Linked DNA regions of Mytilus edulis. The protein of the gene in region 1 purifies or fractionates together with the protein of each later gene. This does not show direct contact. Links are inferred from orthologs where the notes say so. Each region holds a gene or a part of one and is shown in the gene's direction. Other genes may lie near its edges.

Region 1 (7,743 bases):
TACAGCTATAGCTAATGGCATCAAATCAATAAGCCATTTACTAAATAAAAAGATATTTATATAATCACATCTAACCAGAACACAGATAGTCAGGGGTATCCAAACTGGATTGTTCATGCAGAGTTCGGCATCTCATTCTGCTGACGGCAGAGTTTTAAAGACAAATGAGAAAGACTCCAAAGATGAGTGGTCTACTTAGTCTGCAATCAATACCATAACGTCAGTAGCGTATAAAATAATAGTAAACACTTCAAACCAGCCCAAATAACTTGAGAATATCGAAGTTCCACAAGATTATCCGTCATATTGTAGCCCCTGTAAATCCCATGGGGACCCCGAGACCCGTGTGGAGTTCGGGGTGCTCCTTGTCAAAGTCATATAGAAATCCCTGAAAGATGGTATCTATAAAATAAGGAAATAACAATCGAAATTAAATGGATGTAAGCAATAATAGACAACTCTATGGCCTTCGTTAATGAGAAAACCCCACGCCGAACAGTTGGCTATAAAGAGCCATGACATGAAAAATATGAAATAGTTCGATTGAGAAAACTAACGGCCTTATTCATAACAAAACAATTTATTGAAAACAAAAGACAGATGTGAACCAACAACAACCACTGAACTGCAAGCTTCTGACTGAAGACAGGCACATTTATATAAATAGAATGAGGAGGGATAAAAAAAAATCCATGACCTCTGTGGATAAAATTGAGAATAGATCTAAATGGAGAATGTACCAAAGAGACAACAATCCGTCCAAACAGCAGACAACAGACGAATAGAAGGGAACCAATAGGTATTCAATGCTGTGAGAAAATCCCGCATCCGATAGCCCGCTTCAGCTGGCCCCTAAATAAAAAACATAAAAATTATCTAAAATTGAAAAATCACACAAGACTACTAAAGGCCAAAAGCTTCTGGTTTTGGGACAGGCATGAAAATGCGGGTTAAACATCTTTTTGAGATCCCAACCCTCCCCTATACCTTCATAAGCAATGTAGAAAAAACAAACACACATACAGTAAACTTGGAATTGATAGTAAATAGCAAGTACAAGTTATTTTGAGCATATTTATATCAATATTATACAGTTAAAGGTGAGAATAATTGAAATTCGGCTGTTGTCTACTCTATGGTTTGGTTGTTGTCTCTTTGACACATTCCCCATTTCCATTCTCAATTTTATGCAAATAGTTTTACACCAACTTCAAAATTAAAATGACGTTTGTTAAAAAAAGTATCCATATATTGATTGATTTTTTTTTTTTTGGGGGGGGGACTATTTTAAATACTGTTTTAATATATACCTATATATGTGCTTGTAAATATCGGTTCAGGTCAAAATTTGGCTGTTTGTAATTTCTTTTCGGACGTCCGAGACAGAAGTTTTGTTATACATAGTTTTGAATATTCCATTAAAGAAAGGTAGGTCTGGTACATAGATAAAGATAAAGATATTTTTATTTCCTAATCATAGGGCTCATAACAAGCATGTAATCACATAAAGTAAAAATAAAAGGCCTTTCTCTTTCACTCGCATACACTCACACATACAACTCTCGTTCTGATTAAGGATTATTGATTTAACAGTACAATATGTAAATGAAAAATGAAATACAGTACAAATAAAGATACAAATATATTTTTATTTTTATTTGTTTTTATGAAGAGAGTCAGTTGCCTACATTGTATATATTTGGAACGAAGGATAACTCTTACTGCCCAGAAAGAAAGAAAACAATTCAAGTATAATGTGACAATGAACTGGTGAAGACTATAAATAAGTTTTATAAGTTTCAGTTAAGCAAATATTTAGTTTCTCAATGTGTAAAATGAGGATAGCAATTCACATAATTTAGAGTTAAAAAGAAGGCTATCGTTTGACATGAACCAAATAAGCAGATTACTATCGCCCGGGATATTTGGGATAAATATGGGTATTTTGTAAAGAGTACATCTCTAGAATTTATGATGATAAAATAAAGAAGTTTGTTTGTTTGTCATACATATGATATATTATATATTGACGCATAGCTAGTGCTCTAATAGTTTCCTCTGTACCGTACAGGGCGTACTGTTGAGATCATACTTTAAACAACGAAGTTGTCTTTTGTGAATTTCGGCATTTAGCAGAAGAGCTCACAGAGGTAGGTAAAACGATTCGCATGATGTCCTTTTAAGAAGTGACCATATTTAACTTCGAGTTTACATGTAGTGTGTTAAGCCTTTCTAGCAGTATTTGTAGGCCGTATGCAAGACCATTTGAGTCATGCACCTCTGTCTTTATTAGAGAATATAGCGTTCTCCTTGCTAAACTGATGCAGTCATTTATTCTGGTTTCATCTACTGTCGATCCTGTAAGTCTTATATGAGATGTACTGTCAGAACAATGTATTTCGTTGTTTCCAATTTTTAATACCTCGATATCCTCAGTTTGTTATGGTCTTATCCTGTCTTTAGTATGATGGTACTCATCTGTGGATTTCTGTTTTTATTAGAGATATCATTATGCTTTTCTTCTTCTATTTTGAATGTTTCTTTTTGTTACTTTATTTGGGTGTAAAGTGTTGACCGAAGTACATTTTGTATGAAGCGCGGAAGAGCTGCATTCTAAAAATGTGCGCACGGTGAACGCTTTTACGACTCTATGAAGTTGCAAAAAGAAGTATTCAAAACTTATAATAACATTTCTAGCTAGGATCATGAAAACACGATTTTTATCAAGTTTTTATTTTATTTACCTGTGCTCTTTATTGGGGGCTATAAAAGGCCCCGACTTTAAACATATGTAACAATTACCATATTGTAATGGATATTTTCCAGATTTTATCAGATTGGCTTAGTCCAAAAAATTAATAATCCACTAAAATGATCCGATAACTCTTACATGTCATCAGTGTATATTTGTTGTCGTCCGAAGACAAATTCGGTTTCCGGACAATAACTTAAGTTTAAATTATTGGATATCTATGAAACTTTACAAGAAGGTTCAATACCACAAAAGGAAGGTTGGGATTGATTTTAAGGTATATGTTACCAACAGTTAAGGAATAAGGGGCCAAAAACAAGCGGCGGTGATTTTTGTAGTTTGCGGACAATAACTTGTTTTTAAGTGTATGGATCTCTCTTAAATAGTACCACAAGGTTTCATATCACATAGGGAAGGCTGATATTGAGTTTTGGTGTAAATTAATTGCCCAGAACAAGCAGGAAAAAGGGCCAAAAAGGGACCAAAAACAAGCATTTTCTAGTTTCCAGACAATAACAGTAAACTTGTGTTAAGTGTATGGATGTCTCAACTTGAAATTGTAATACAAGGTTCCATACCACAAATAGAAGTTGGGATTGAGTTTGGGGTCATTTACTCAAAAGGAGTGTCAACAGTAGCGTGATTTGTTTTCCAATTTTTCAACCGGGGGGAGAGGGGGGGTCATATTTTTTCTCTCTCAAGTTTTCAAAATTTCAAATTTATTCAAAAGTTTCAAACTGGAGAAATCTTCAATAGCAGAGTATTACCCAATCGATTTTTAAGATCTTTTGACCACATTTATTTTCAGTGGCGGATCCAGGGGGAGGGTTCCGGGGGTTGGAACCCCCCCCCTTTTTTGGACGATCAATGCATATGAGTGGGGACATATAGTTGGACCCCCCTTTTTTGTCCGGGGTTGGGAACTCCCCTTTTTAAAATGGCTGGATCCGCCCCTGATTTTGTGTTGGAAATCTATAGGGGGTCTCATTGGGGGGTTCCGATCCCGGATCCCGCTTACTGTTTTGTCAGATTCCCGTATCCCGCTTACACTAGATAAGATAAGATAAGATAATTTTATTAACCAATCATGGTGCCCAAAATTTGAGCTATACAATCAAATGAATTACAAAATAAAGCACAGAAAATGATTAGAATGATTAAAGTACATTTAAACAACAAAACCACATGAATACACATTTACACTAATTAACCTGATATAAATCAAGTTATTGACAAAACATAGTTATGGGTGCCACTGTGACCTGGAGAAATTACATAAATCCTTATAGTTCTAGGTCTATGGGAGACAACTCCTGATCAATTTTATTTCCTATATATGTATATATCTATAAATATTTTTTTCTTCTATTTTTTTTTTCTTTTTCGAACAACAATATTTTCTATAATTTTCTTTCGTTCTTCAAAAAGGGAGTGCAATAAATTAGATAAGTTTGAAGTAACAAACAAATCTTCAGATGAAAGAATCCAAACAAATTTCATTTCATCAGATAATCTTGAAAAATTTTTGAATTTTGAATTTAAATTAGATAGATGTTGAGATACCTTTTAGAACAGGACATTTTAAAAGAAAATGTAGTTCGTCTTCAACTGCGTTCTTACATAGCTTACACTTTCTGTCTTCAGCTTTAATTCCAATATACCTCCCTCTTTCGATTTCAAGATCATGACAGCTAGTTCTAAATCTTGTGATTATTTGCCTGTCTTTTTTGAATTCATTTTTAAATATGGTTCAAACATAAAAATATTTTTAAATTTTCTGTAAGTTCTTAATTTATTACCAGATTGTAAATTAGTACACTTCCCAGAATTGCTTTGTACGTAAGCAATTCTCATGTTTTTGTCATTTCCCGTGTCCCGCTAGACCTCATTTCCCGTTTTCACGACACGCTTAGACCCCAATGAGACCCACTCTATATGATCCAAATTTAGACAACAAAGCTTGAATATTGTCAATGTGTCCCGGCAAACTTGACTGTTCACGGTTCGACTTCTGCGGTCGTATCACACTGTGCTCGGCGAAGCAATTAATTAACTTTGTGATATTTTTTTGTAAACGACTTACGTAAAAATAGACAATTTGATACGCTAAAGTCAATGTCACAGATATTGAGATAATCTTTGAATAAGTACACGGAATATTATCGATCCGTGTTAAACCGGATATTATACACTTTTTCCATACGTCGCCATTTTAACGCAGAAGAAACCGGCACGCACGCACTTGTAGAATTTGGTAGAATTTGAATTGAAAAGAAACAAATAATGGCTGACGGAGCAAAGTAAGTTTAATTAGTGATTTTCTTATGGGTTGGTTGTAAACTAAGAGGACTAGGAGCTATGTCAAACTCCAAAAACTGATTTGATTTTCGAAGTTTTTTTCTTCGATGCTCAAATTCACTTTGTCATTGTCTTTGTTCAAACGAAAAAATCCTAAAACTTGTGAAATATTTTTGGATATCTGAATCTAATGGAAGAAAAGTAATTAATTAAGAATTGTTTATGCTTTTTAAGCCAAAAGTAACTGTTATATAATTTTTTGACGAAAATATTTGATCATCATAATTTTTTTATCCCGGAAATTTATATTTGAAAAAATTTACAGTGTAAAGTCATGTCAGAACATATATATTTGAAATTGATATTCAAAGTTATTTTTATCATTTACATTTTTGTAATTTCCTTGAAATAAATAAACCGAAAATAAGTTCTATTTATAGAAATTAAGTCATTATGTTTATCCATTCTCTAAGCGTAACGTGTCATTGACATTGGTTGAGTTCATTTCATTATTTACATTCATGATATCAGGTTCAAAACTGCAATATCACTATGTATTATATAAAAAATAACCAAAGCTAAATTTTGCCATTTCAAACAATTAAGCAGAACCTGAAACACTAAAATGGACAGGTAAAGCTATACATGTCAAAAGTTTATAATTACTATTTACATTCAGATAACTAAGGTCAATTATAAAAAGTTTTAATTTTGAACTATGAAATGAATGGTGATGTTCAATTGTTTAAATTTCAACCTGACAGCAACCCATCAAAATTGAGATAAAAACATGTTGAAATAAAAATGTACATGTCACATGTATGCTTTCATGTTTTAATCTTTTAAAAAACAAAGTGTGAGATCTTACACAAATGTATATGTACCAAAAAGATTTTTAAATTCAAATGAACTACAATGTGTACATGTAAATAATTTTTGATTTGTAGTGAAGACTTGCAAACTGCCATCCTTAAACGTAAAGACAGACCTAACAGGCTCCTTGTTGAAGAAGCTATCAATGAAGATAATTCAGTTGTCTCCCTTTCACAGGTACAGTATCTTTTACTTTATTACATTATCAATAAATTAAAAACTCAAATTTGAGTGAAAGTTTGTGATTTGGAATTTTGAAGGTTCATCATGTGTGCCTTATCCTTCAGGTCCAGTAAAGTCATACATTTTGGAGTTCTTGTACAAAATCTGGATTAGGCATTGTGTTACCACTAATATTTGAATTGAAATTGGGCGAGTAAGAATAAAAAATATATCATTTTGTAAAGTTCGATTAATGTTCATATTGCAGTCTAAAAACAGATTTTTGAGAAGGGGATAGAGCTTTGTAAATGTTTTTAAGACGTTCCTTATACTCATGGTGTATGGGTCTTCCCCTTTATTATGCCCAGGGGTTTCATTATCTTTCATGTTGACTGGTACTTTCCATGTTTCTAGGTGGTACTTTTCAATTTATTCCATGAATATCTTATATAAAAATTCCTACATTTAGGCGGTACTTGTCAATAGCATAGGAAGGTAAAAGTACCGGGTACCGCCTCCTAATGAATGGCCTGTATGCCCTGTCTGCAGCAAAGAGGTCTGTTATAAACTTGAGCTAAAGCTTTTGGAATTTTTAATTACATGTAGATTATGTTGGCATGTACAAAACATGTAGAGATAATTTTTAAAGACCTGAAAGCAATTTTACAAGCCTAGCCTGCTGGGCCTGTGGTAAAGCGTGAAGACTATATTAAATGTCATCCTTGTCTGTACATGCATCCCAATATTGGTTTCCTAATTATTTGATTTGAAAATTAACTTGTGATTTTAATTACAGGGAAAAATGGATGAGTTGCAGTTATTCCGTGGTGACACAGTACTCCTTAAAGGAAAAAGACGAAGAGAAACTGTATGCATTGTCTTGTCTGATGACACATGCTCAGATGATAAAATCAGAATAAACAGATGTGTAAGGAACAATCTACGAGTGAGGATAGGAGACATAGTCAGGTTAGTTGATATGAATATTGGTTTATCACTAAGGATAGAGACTTACATTTGTAGTCAGATATAAAGGTTACAGAATTTTAGAAACAGTTGTACAAAAATAAAGTAATATGATTATGTTTTAGACCATTTTGGTGGGAGTTTTTCTGAAAACATGCCTATGAATACACAAGGGAATTTAACTGATATACATTTTCCTTCTTCTTTGTATGTCCTTGATGACAAGTAAATGTCACACTATATTTGACATTAGTTTGTTTGTTTTATGTATGATGTATTTGATATATACATGTATACATACATGTACACTGCAATGTCACATTATAAAAGACCGTCTTTTGATTTGAAATTTATTTGATCTATGTGTTATGTATATGTTTTTATACGACCGCAAAATTTGAAAAAATTTTCGTCGTATATTGCTATCACGTTGGCGTCGGCGTCGTCGTCGTCCGGCGTCCGAATACTTTTAGTTTTCGCACTCTAACTTTAGTAAAAGTGAATGGAAATCTATGAAATTTTAACACAAGGTTTATGACCACAAAAGGAAGGTTGGTATTGATTTTGGGAGTTTTGGTCCCAACATTTTAGGAATTAGGGGCCAAAAAGGGCCCAAATAAGCATTTTCTTGGTTTTCGCACTATAACTTTAGTTTAAGTTAATAGAAATCTATGAAATTTTGACACAAGGTT
Region 2 (7,205 bases), on another chromosome or scaffold:
ACAGAAACCAAAACGTGCCGAACAGAAATGGCTGACCTTTCTGACAATCATTTTGGCGTTTGTTACAGGCAGTCATTGCTTTTGACGGTGACACGTTCATTGGTATAGGGAAAATCAGGGTTTCAGTGTATAACACAATATTTGAACATCGAAAATGACGTAATCAATTCAACTTTCGAACTGCATTTTTTTTTTCAAACATTTAAGTAATGACAGAACTTTCTATTCATAAGTTTGTTTACAAAAAAATGCATAATTAAAAATGAAAATTGAAAAGAATAATCTAGTGTTGCGTTTCTAAAGCCGGTCAGTATACTAGAAAAATTATTTGATAAAAAAATGACGCCAATATATATATATAGCTTTTCATGTTCTAGAAGAGAAAAAGCTTATTTGACAGACACTGACGTCCACAGCTTTTTATCTTCTAGAAAATCTTATATGACGGACATAGCTGATATCAATTATAATAGCTTGTCCTATTCTACAAAAAAAATTAATGAAAAACCCTTCTATAAAAAAAAAAATTTAACGGACACTGACGTCAGTCACTATAGCTTTTGATTCGTCTTCTAGATAACTTATTTGACGGACACAGTTGACATCAATAGCTTTTAATCTTCAACAAAAAAAAAATGAAAAACACTTTCTACAAAAAATAAATATTTGACGAACACTGATGTCACTATAGCTTTTTTTATTTTACAAAAAGTTAACCTTATTCGACGAAGGCTGATGAGTTTTAGCATCTATACATACCTTTTTTACGGACACTTATGTAACTAGCTTTTTGTCTTCTATACATAACAGTATTTGACATACACTGACAACGTCAACCAGTTTTTATTCTTGTACAACTATGGCTTTTCATCTTCTAAAATAACTTATATGATAATCACTCAGTGGCGGATTCAGGGGAGGGTTCCGGAGGTTGGAACCCCCTTCTTTGGACGATCAATGCATTTGAATGGGGACATATAGTTGGACCCCCTTTTTAAAATGGCTTGATCAGCCCTTGCACTGACGTCAACAGAGGCGGATTTGGGGGGGGGGGGGGGGGGTGATCATATAGGGAATCACTGAAGCGTGACCGGAGCGGGTCCCGTCTTAGGCAGTCAGTGGGCCCCCACCTAGATCCGCCACTGGTCAATAGCTTTTCATCTTCTAGAAAAAACGTATTTGACAACCACGGACGTCATTATCATTTTATCTTCAAGAATAAATACTGATTTTACAGACACTGACGTCCACAGCTCTTCGTCTTCTAGAACATTGTATATGGCATACACTGACGTCGATAGCTTTATAATTTTTTTTACAAAAATTACAAAAACTTATTTGACATACACTGACGTCAATAGCTTTTCGTCTTCTAAAAAATCTTATATGACAGAAACTGACGTCAATAGCTGTTCATCTTCTAGGGGAAAAATAACTTATATTACACTGACGCGTGAGTAGCTTTTCATCTTCTAGAGAAAAAAATTATTGAACAAAAAATAACATGTTATATTCAGGTATATAGAAAACAAATCTGGGACAATTGCCTTTGTTGGTATACAGTAAACATTTCATGCCAGTTAAAAAATATCCAATGTGAATATTGGAAGAGGACTGGTGCTACAACGGGTCTGTCTACACTAGCGTAAAATAGAGTCGAAGATACCAGAGGGACATTCAAACTCATAAGTCGAAAATAAACTGACAACGCAATGCATGGCTAAAAAAGAAAAAAAGACAAACTGACAGACAATAGTACACTAAACACAACATAGAAATTAAAGACTGAGCAACACGAACCCCAACAGGTTGTCTCATTGGCACTCACACCACATCTGCCTTTATCTATATAAAGAGATAATCATAGGTGCTCTGGAAGCCGGTAAGCAGATCCTGCTCCACATGTGGCACCCGTCATGTTGATTATGTTAGTACACACGTTGTTATAAGTCTAATTCGGTATGTCACATTCTGGAAAATTGGACGGGGTGTAGCTACGACATTAGGAACATATATCCGCTGTCGGTTTCATAGATCTGTGAGAGGTATATACCATACATATACTGTCAACCATCTCAGTTCTGATGGCATCCGTAAAACTTACGCGGAGTTCCGAGTCCTAAATATATATGACTTAATTGTCAACAAATACTAAATACTCAAACATTTACTTGCCACTCGACTGGGTCTGTGTACACTACATTTTGAAATGACTTTATTATTATGTTGTATACCTCTTTCAGTGTCGATGTGGCATGCAGTATGTTGGCGAGACAGAGCAGCCATTCAACAAACGCATGAATGGTCATCGCAGTGACTACACTTGCAAGCCCGACCTACCCGTAAGTCGTCATTTGAGATGCACCAGCGTCTGTGGTTTCCGCTTAAATTGTATAAACTTTCAAGATTCTGAGTGTCTCAATTTGAATATATCATGACATGATTCATTTGACATCGTGCTATTACCGAAGAAGGATATCTGTTATCCGAAATATTTAATATTTGTTCATTTTATAGTTATTTAATGGTGATGTTGTACCCTTTTTGACTTGTTATATATCATATTTTGTAGTGTACAGAATCGTATTACATGTTCCATCGCCCTGTAAGATTAATCGTTGACTATTTATTCAGTCATTTTATATATATATATATATATATATATATATATATATACTATACTATAGATAATTTAGCTGATCTGTAAAAATAACATCTCCATGTCTTATATATCATGTACTGTAGCACGACGCTAGATTAAAACTGACGTGGAAAGGTAACACCCGGCCACCGAAAGCTTCATTTTTATGAAGCCCAGGCCTTGAAGTCATAAAACTTTGGTCAGTGCTCGGAGCACAAAAATCATGCTCGAAACCTGAAATCCAGCATTTTCAAAACTCTTTAAAACTCTATTTTGTTTTGAAACATAAATTAACCTAAAAGATTTTAGATTAAGGCAATTAATCTGTAAGATAAGAATTAGCGCTCATGGTAGTCATACAAATATTTACTTGGATTGTAATTTGAGACTGATCAGAGATTATATATGTAAAAAAATTGTGCCGTGAATCAGGAACATATATATTAGATATACTGTTCCCAGCGTGAATAGATTTGAATAGAACACTTTAATAAAAAATGTTTATAATGCATTACACCCTTTTTTGGCTGAATGCTCACTATACGTTGATAATAAAAATAAGTCTTTTGCTGAAATTCAGTTAAAATGCAATAATTTTCAATCTTTAGACAATCTCTTTTTAACTTTTCATATATTTACTATTAGTTAGTATAATTCAAGTAGTTTAATTTATACATTAGCGGCGCAGTATTTATCCAAAAATCTGGCAATAAGGAGAAGTTCAAAGATAATAATTGCAAATTAGCCACAAGTATAGAAATGTTTTAAAACTTGATATTTGAAAGTTATCAAAGGTACCAACATTATAATTTAATCGTGATGCCAGACGCGCGTTTCGTCTTCATAAGACCAGGGACTTTCTATACTAAGAAATAGTATAGAAAATCCCTGATAAGACTCATCAGTGACGCTCACATCAAAATAGTTATAAGGTCAAACAACTTGAATACCATATATGAGGGCCCTCATGGGGTTTTTGATTATGTGATTACTTGGCCGTTTTTTTAATGATTATTTGATTATTAAGCCAAATATTTCATGATTATTTGATTACCTAGGACTGTATTTTTAGTTTATGATTATTTGATTACTAAAGATAAGCAAATATTTAATGATTATGTGATTATATTGGCAAAAAAATGGTGATTATGTGATTCCTAGGACCCCCCCATGAGGGGCCTCATATATATACGAAGTTGAAGAGCATTGCATGAGGACCAAAAATTCCAAAAAATTGTGCCAAATACGACTAGAAGGTCTAGAATGTAATCTTTTCCTGGGGTAAGACAATATATGTCTGTTGCTGTTAATAACTAATTTTAAAAATCTACGGATTCTAGTCTGAGGTTCTAGTATTCAATTCAAATGCAATTTAAAAAAACGCGCTTTTTAACTTTTAAAGTATATAGTAGCCAATCAAAAATGTCGTTACAAATTTCCTTGATATAATTTCCATAACCAATCAAACATCTCCACGTTTATGAACTTCATCTGTTGACCGGCGTGAGGGATTTGGAACGCTTTTAACTTGGAACACCAGAATTACTGGTAAAATGTCTTATTATGATTCAAATTTGAAATACTTTGATACTTAATTCCCACGATCACTTCTGTTTGAAACACCAGCTCACTTGGAAAATGCCCAAAACCTTCATTATTTGTAAAGAAACGATTAAACCGAAAAAAGGGGGAGGACGAATAATCATGACATGCCTGATTTTTCAGATCATATGATCCAGTAACATTAGTCCCTAGTCAGTATTAAAACTTTAACACATTTACTAAAGCTCAGTCTTGCTTATTTTTATTTGGCCTGAATGATTTTTTTACAGCCCAATAGAAACTGCAAAAACTATGTCCCATAATTGCATAAAAAAAATCTCTATTTTAGTGACTGAGCGAATTGCAAGTATAAGGTTGCTGCAAGGGTTACCTTGAAGACTACAGAAGTCTTGACCAAGGATAAGATATTAGCTTCATATCTTACATACAGCATATATTGTCTATTGAAAGAGTAATGATAAAACTGAAAAAGGGGGTGGCTAACTGGCTAATTAATAGACCGAATTCGGTCTAGCTAATTAATGAAAAATAAAAGATATCAAACTGTTTATTGGTTGGTATCTAAATGCTGTATTCACCTATATGAGAGTATGAAGACCGTTAACCGTCAGTCTTTATTCTTGGAAACCAGCCATACCAAATGGCTTCTTTAGTCTTTAGTCTTTAGTAAGTGTCCCAAATGACACTGTAAACACTTGTGTACGTTTCCTCTTTTGTAGTTTCTTCACATATGTAATGTTCACTCATGTACTACAGGGCTCACACTACTTCAGAATTATAGGGAGAAGTGACTTCTCTTTTTGAAACTGATAGGGAGAAGTGGTGAGATTAGAAAGAGAAGTGCTCATTCGCGCTGTGCGATACAATGTTTGGATTTTACAATAGTATAAAGGGCCATATATGTAAATAATGTTCTTTTTATACTGTTCAATTCATATCTGAGTAAAAAAATTACAATTAAAGTAACATTTGAAATTAAAAGTAGTTTAAGCTTGTGAGAAACTACCAACTAAATATCTAGCACTAAAAAAATAAAAAATATTTAAAAAAATGTAAAGAAATTATAATATATCAATTACAATTTAATTAAAAATTATCTTGTGTATGACATTCAGTGTTTCTCATAAAAAAAATATAAAAGTTATTAAGCTGGGCCATAATATATTGATATTAGTATAATAGTCTCAGAGTTAAGTAACTTTAATCAATAGTTTGAAACAATCCATAAAAAATATAAGGAATTATATACACCAATCAATTAGATGTAACCAAAAGTCTCTTAATGCGTGTGGAATGCGTAATTTTTCCCTTTGGGATCAATATTCTTCTGTCAGCTGTTCCATCCGTGTGTCCGTAGTAATTATTGTAAAAGTACGGATTTCGGTCATAGCTGGTCCGGTTCAGATCCGTAGATTAGAAATCGGTCAATGGCGGCCGAATGCAAGAAAATTTACAAAAATAAACGATGTTTGACAAGTTATTTGGAAAGAAACATGACGTTTTTAATGCAATAAATGGATTAAAATTTACTGGAGGCAACTTTTATCACGTTTAAATGAAGTAACAAACTTATTTTGCCGCAGAAATTGAGGTTGATGTACGTTTTCGAGTAACAAGCACCGGTACTCGCAGAAATGCACGAAGTGATAAAAAGTTGTATTTTTATCAAATAACCTGCTACCCACTGCGAAGACAATGCTTCAAACTCTTTTCAAAAGATAATGAATCGTTTATGTCTGAAATTTTTTAATTATCAATAAAAATTTGATGTTTCATCAACTTGGTAAAAATTGAAAATGTCCGATGACGGAAGCGACTGAAAGCGACTGTCGTCAAGAACAGGGCGACTTGTTTTCGCTTTTGGGGGTCGAGGAAAGCGAAGTGACGGTCGGGAAGGCGACTTCTTCGCCCAAGTCGCCTGGTAGCGTGAGCCCTGCTAGATTGAAATGGTGGCTGCTGCTTAAAAAATTTTGACTTAATTTTGATATAGATTTATAGTGTTTTTTGCTGTATAGTGTTTTTGAATCTACCAGACTCCGTTAAATAATTTTCCAGATGGCACAATATCTCATTTCGATTGTCTCTATTAATGTCTTCTTCATCGATTCCTAATACGGTGTCTAAATCCATGTGTATATTTCCTGTAATAAAGTAAATAGATGTTCTCATCCTCTCTCTAGCCTCCTCATAGTTAGAACAATGTAAAAGGTAGTGTTCTACAGTTTCGGCTACTATTCTTGCCTTGGAAACCAGCCTTTCTGATCAAAATCATTGTTGCTTTTGTTTATATTAGGTAACAAGACTGTTAGGCAAGGAAACCAATCACCTCCATGTTTAATGCAATAATGGACAGTTTGGGACCAAGAGAAACCAGGCCAAAATAAAAAGATTGTATGTTTGCCCAAACGCGACCAACCCAAAATAAACCCGCCGACTCAAATTCTTTTTTGACGTTTTTTTGGAGAATTTTTTTTTTTCAGAATTTTTTTGGGTCCGCTCCGTCATCGTACAAAACTTAATGTTTGTCGTCTTTGCGTTTAAAAGTAGCTGTGAATAAGATTAAAAGAAAGCGTATAAGAGACACAGTTAATCGATATTCAATGTTCTCTGTTTTTATCTTCTGATTTAACAATGTTTAACGAACGTAAAACAGTAAAACATGTGAAGTGGCACAGTTTTTTTACGCTGTAGGTGTCTGTACTACCAAACCCTTTCCTATATACTCAATGTTAATTTCATCATGTTTATCGTAGAGTGGTTGTTTCGGACACAAATTAAGGCTTAGTAAATAAGAACGTCTGCTTGCAATGATACTTGTATTGAACTCTGAAAAGCTAACGTCACAACAACGGTGACGTCGTGTACATGGAGAGCGGTAGAGGGAACACCTCATGTGCAATTCTTAACATTCTGGGGGCCCGCAAATGAATTTAATTACAATAAAATGAAAATAAATTATGAAAATTTCACTTTGAATTACTGTCTCTGATAAATATTAAAC

The links. The genes of interacting proteins can lie anywhere in the genome.
Region 2: the proteins of transitional endoplasmic reticulum ATPase (region 1) and calnexin-like purify together in Homo sapiens (affinity purification with mass spectrometry; 4 studies listed by BioGRID, with this or other methods). This does not show direct contact. The link is inferred for Mytilus edulis from reciprocal best matches to the Homo sapiens genes VCP and CANX.

What each region holds. Positions count from the first base shown.
Region 1 is NC_092344.1:121,175,460-121,183,202, reverse strand, and holds the start of transitional endoplasmic reticulum ATPase, read left to right. Parts: upstream 1-4,718; 5' UTR 4,719-5,035; coding exon 5,036-5,052; intron 5,053-5,997; coding exon 5,998-6,100; intron 6,101-6,881; coding exon 6,882-7,054; intron 7,055-7,743. UniProt on the Homo sapiens protein: Necessary for the fragmentation of Golgi stacks during mitosis and for their reassembly after mitosis. Involved in the formation of the transitional endoplasmic reticulum (tER).
Region 2 is NC_092351.1:90,146,974-90,154,178, reverse strand, and holds the start of calnexin-like, read left to right. Parts: upstream 1-4,098; 5' UTR 4,099-4,189; intron 4,190-7,205. UniProt on the Homo sapiens protein: Calcium-binding protein that interacts with newly synthesized monoglucosylated glycoproteins in the endoplasmic reticulum. It may act in assisting protein assembly and/or in the retention within the ER of unassembled protein subunits.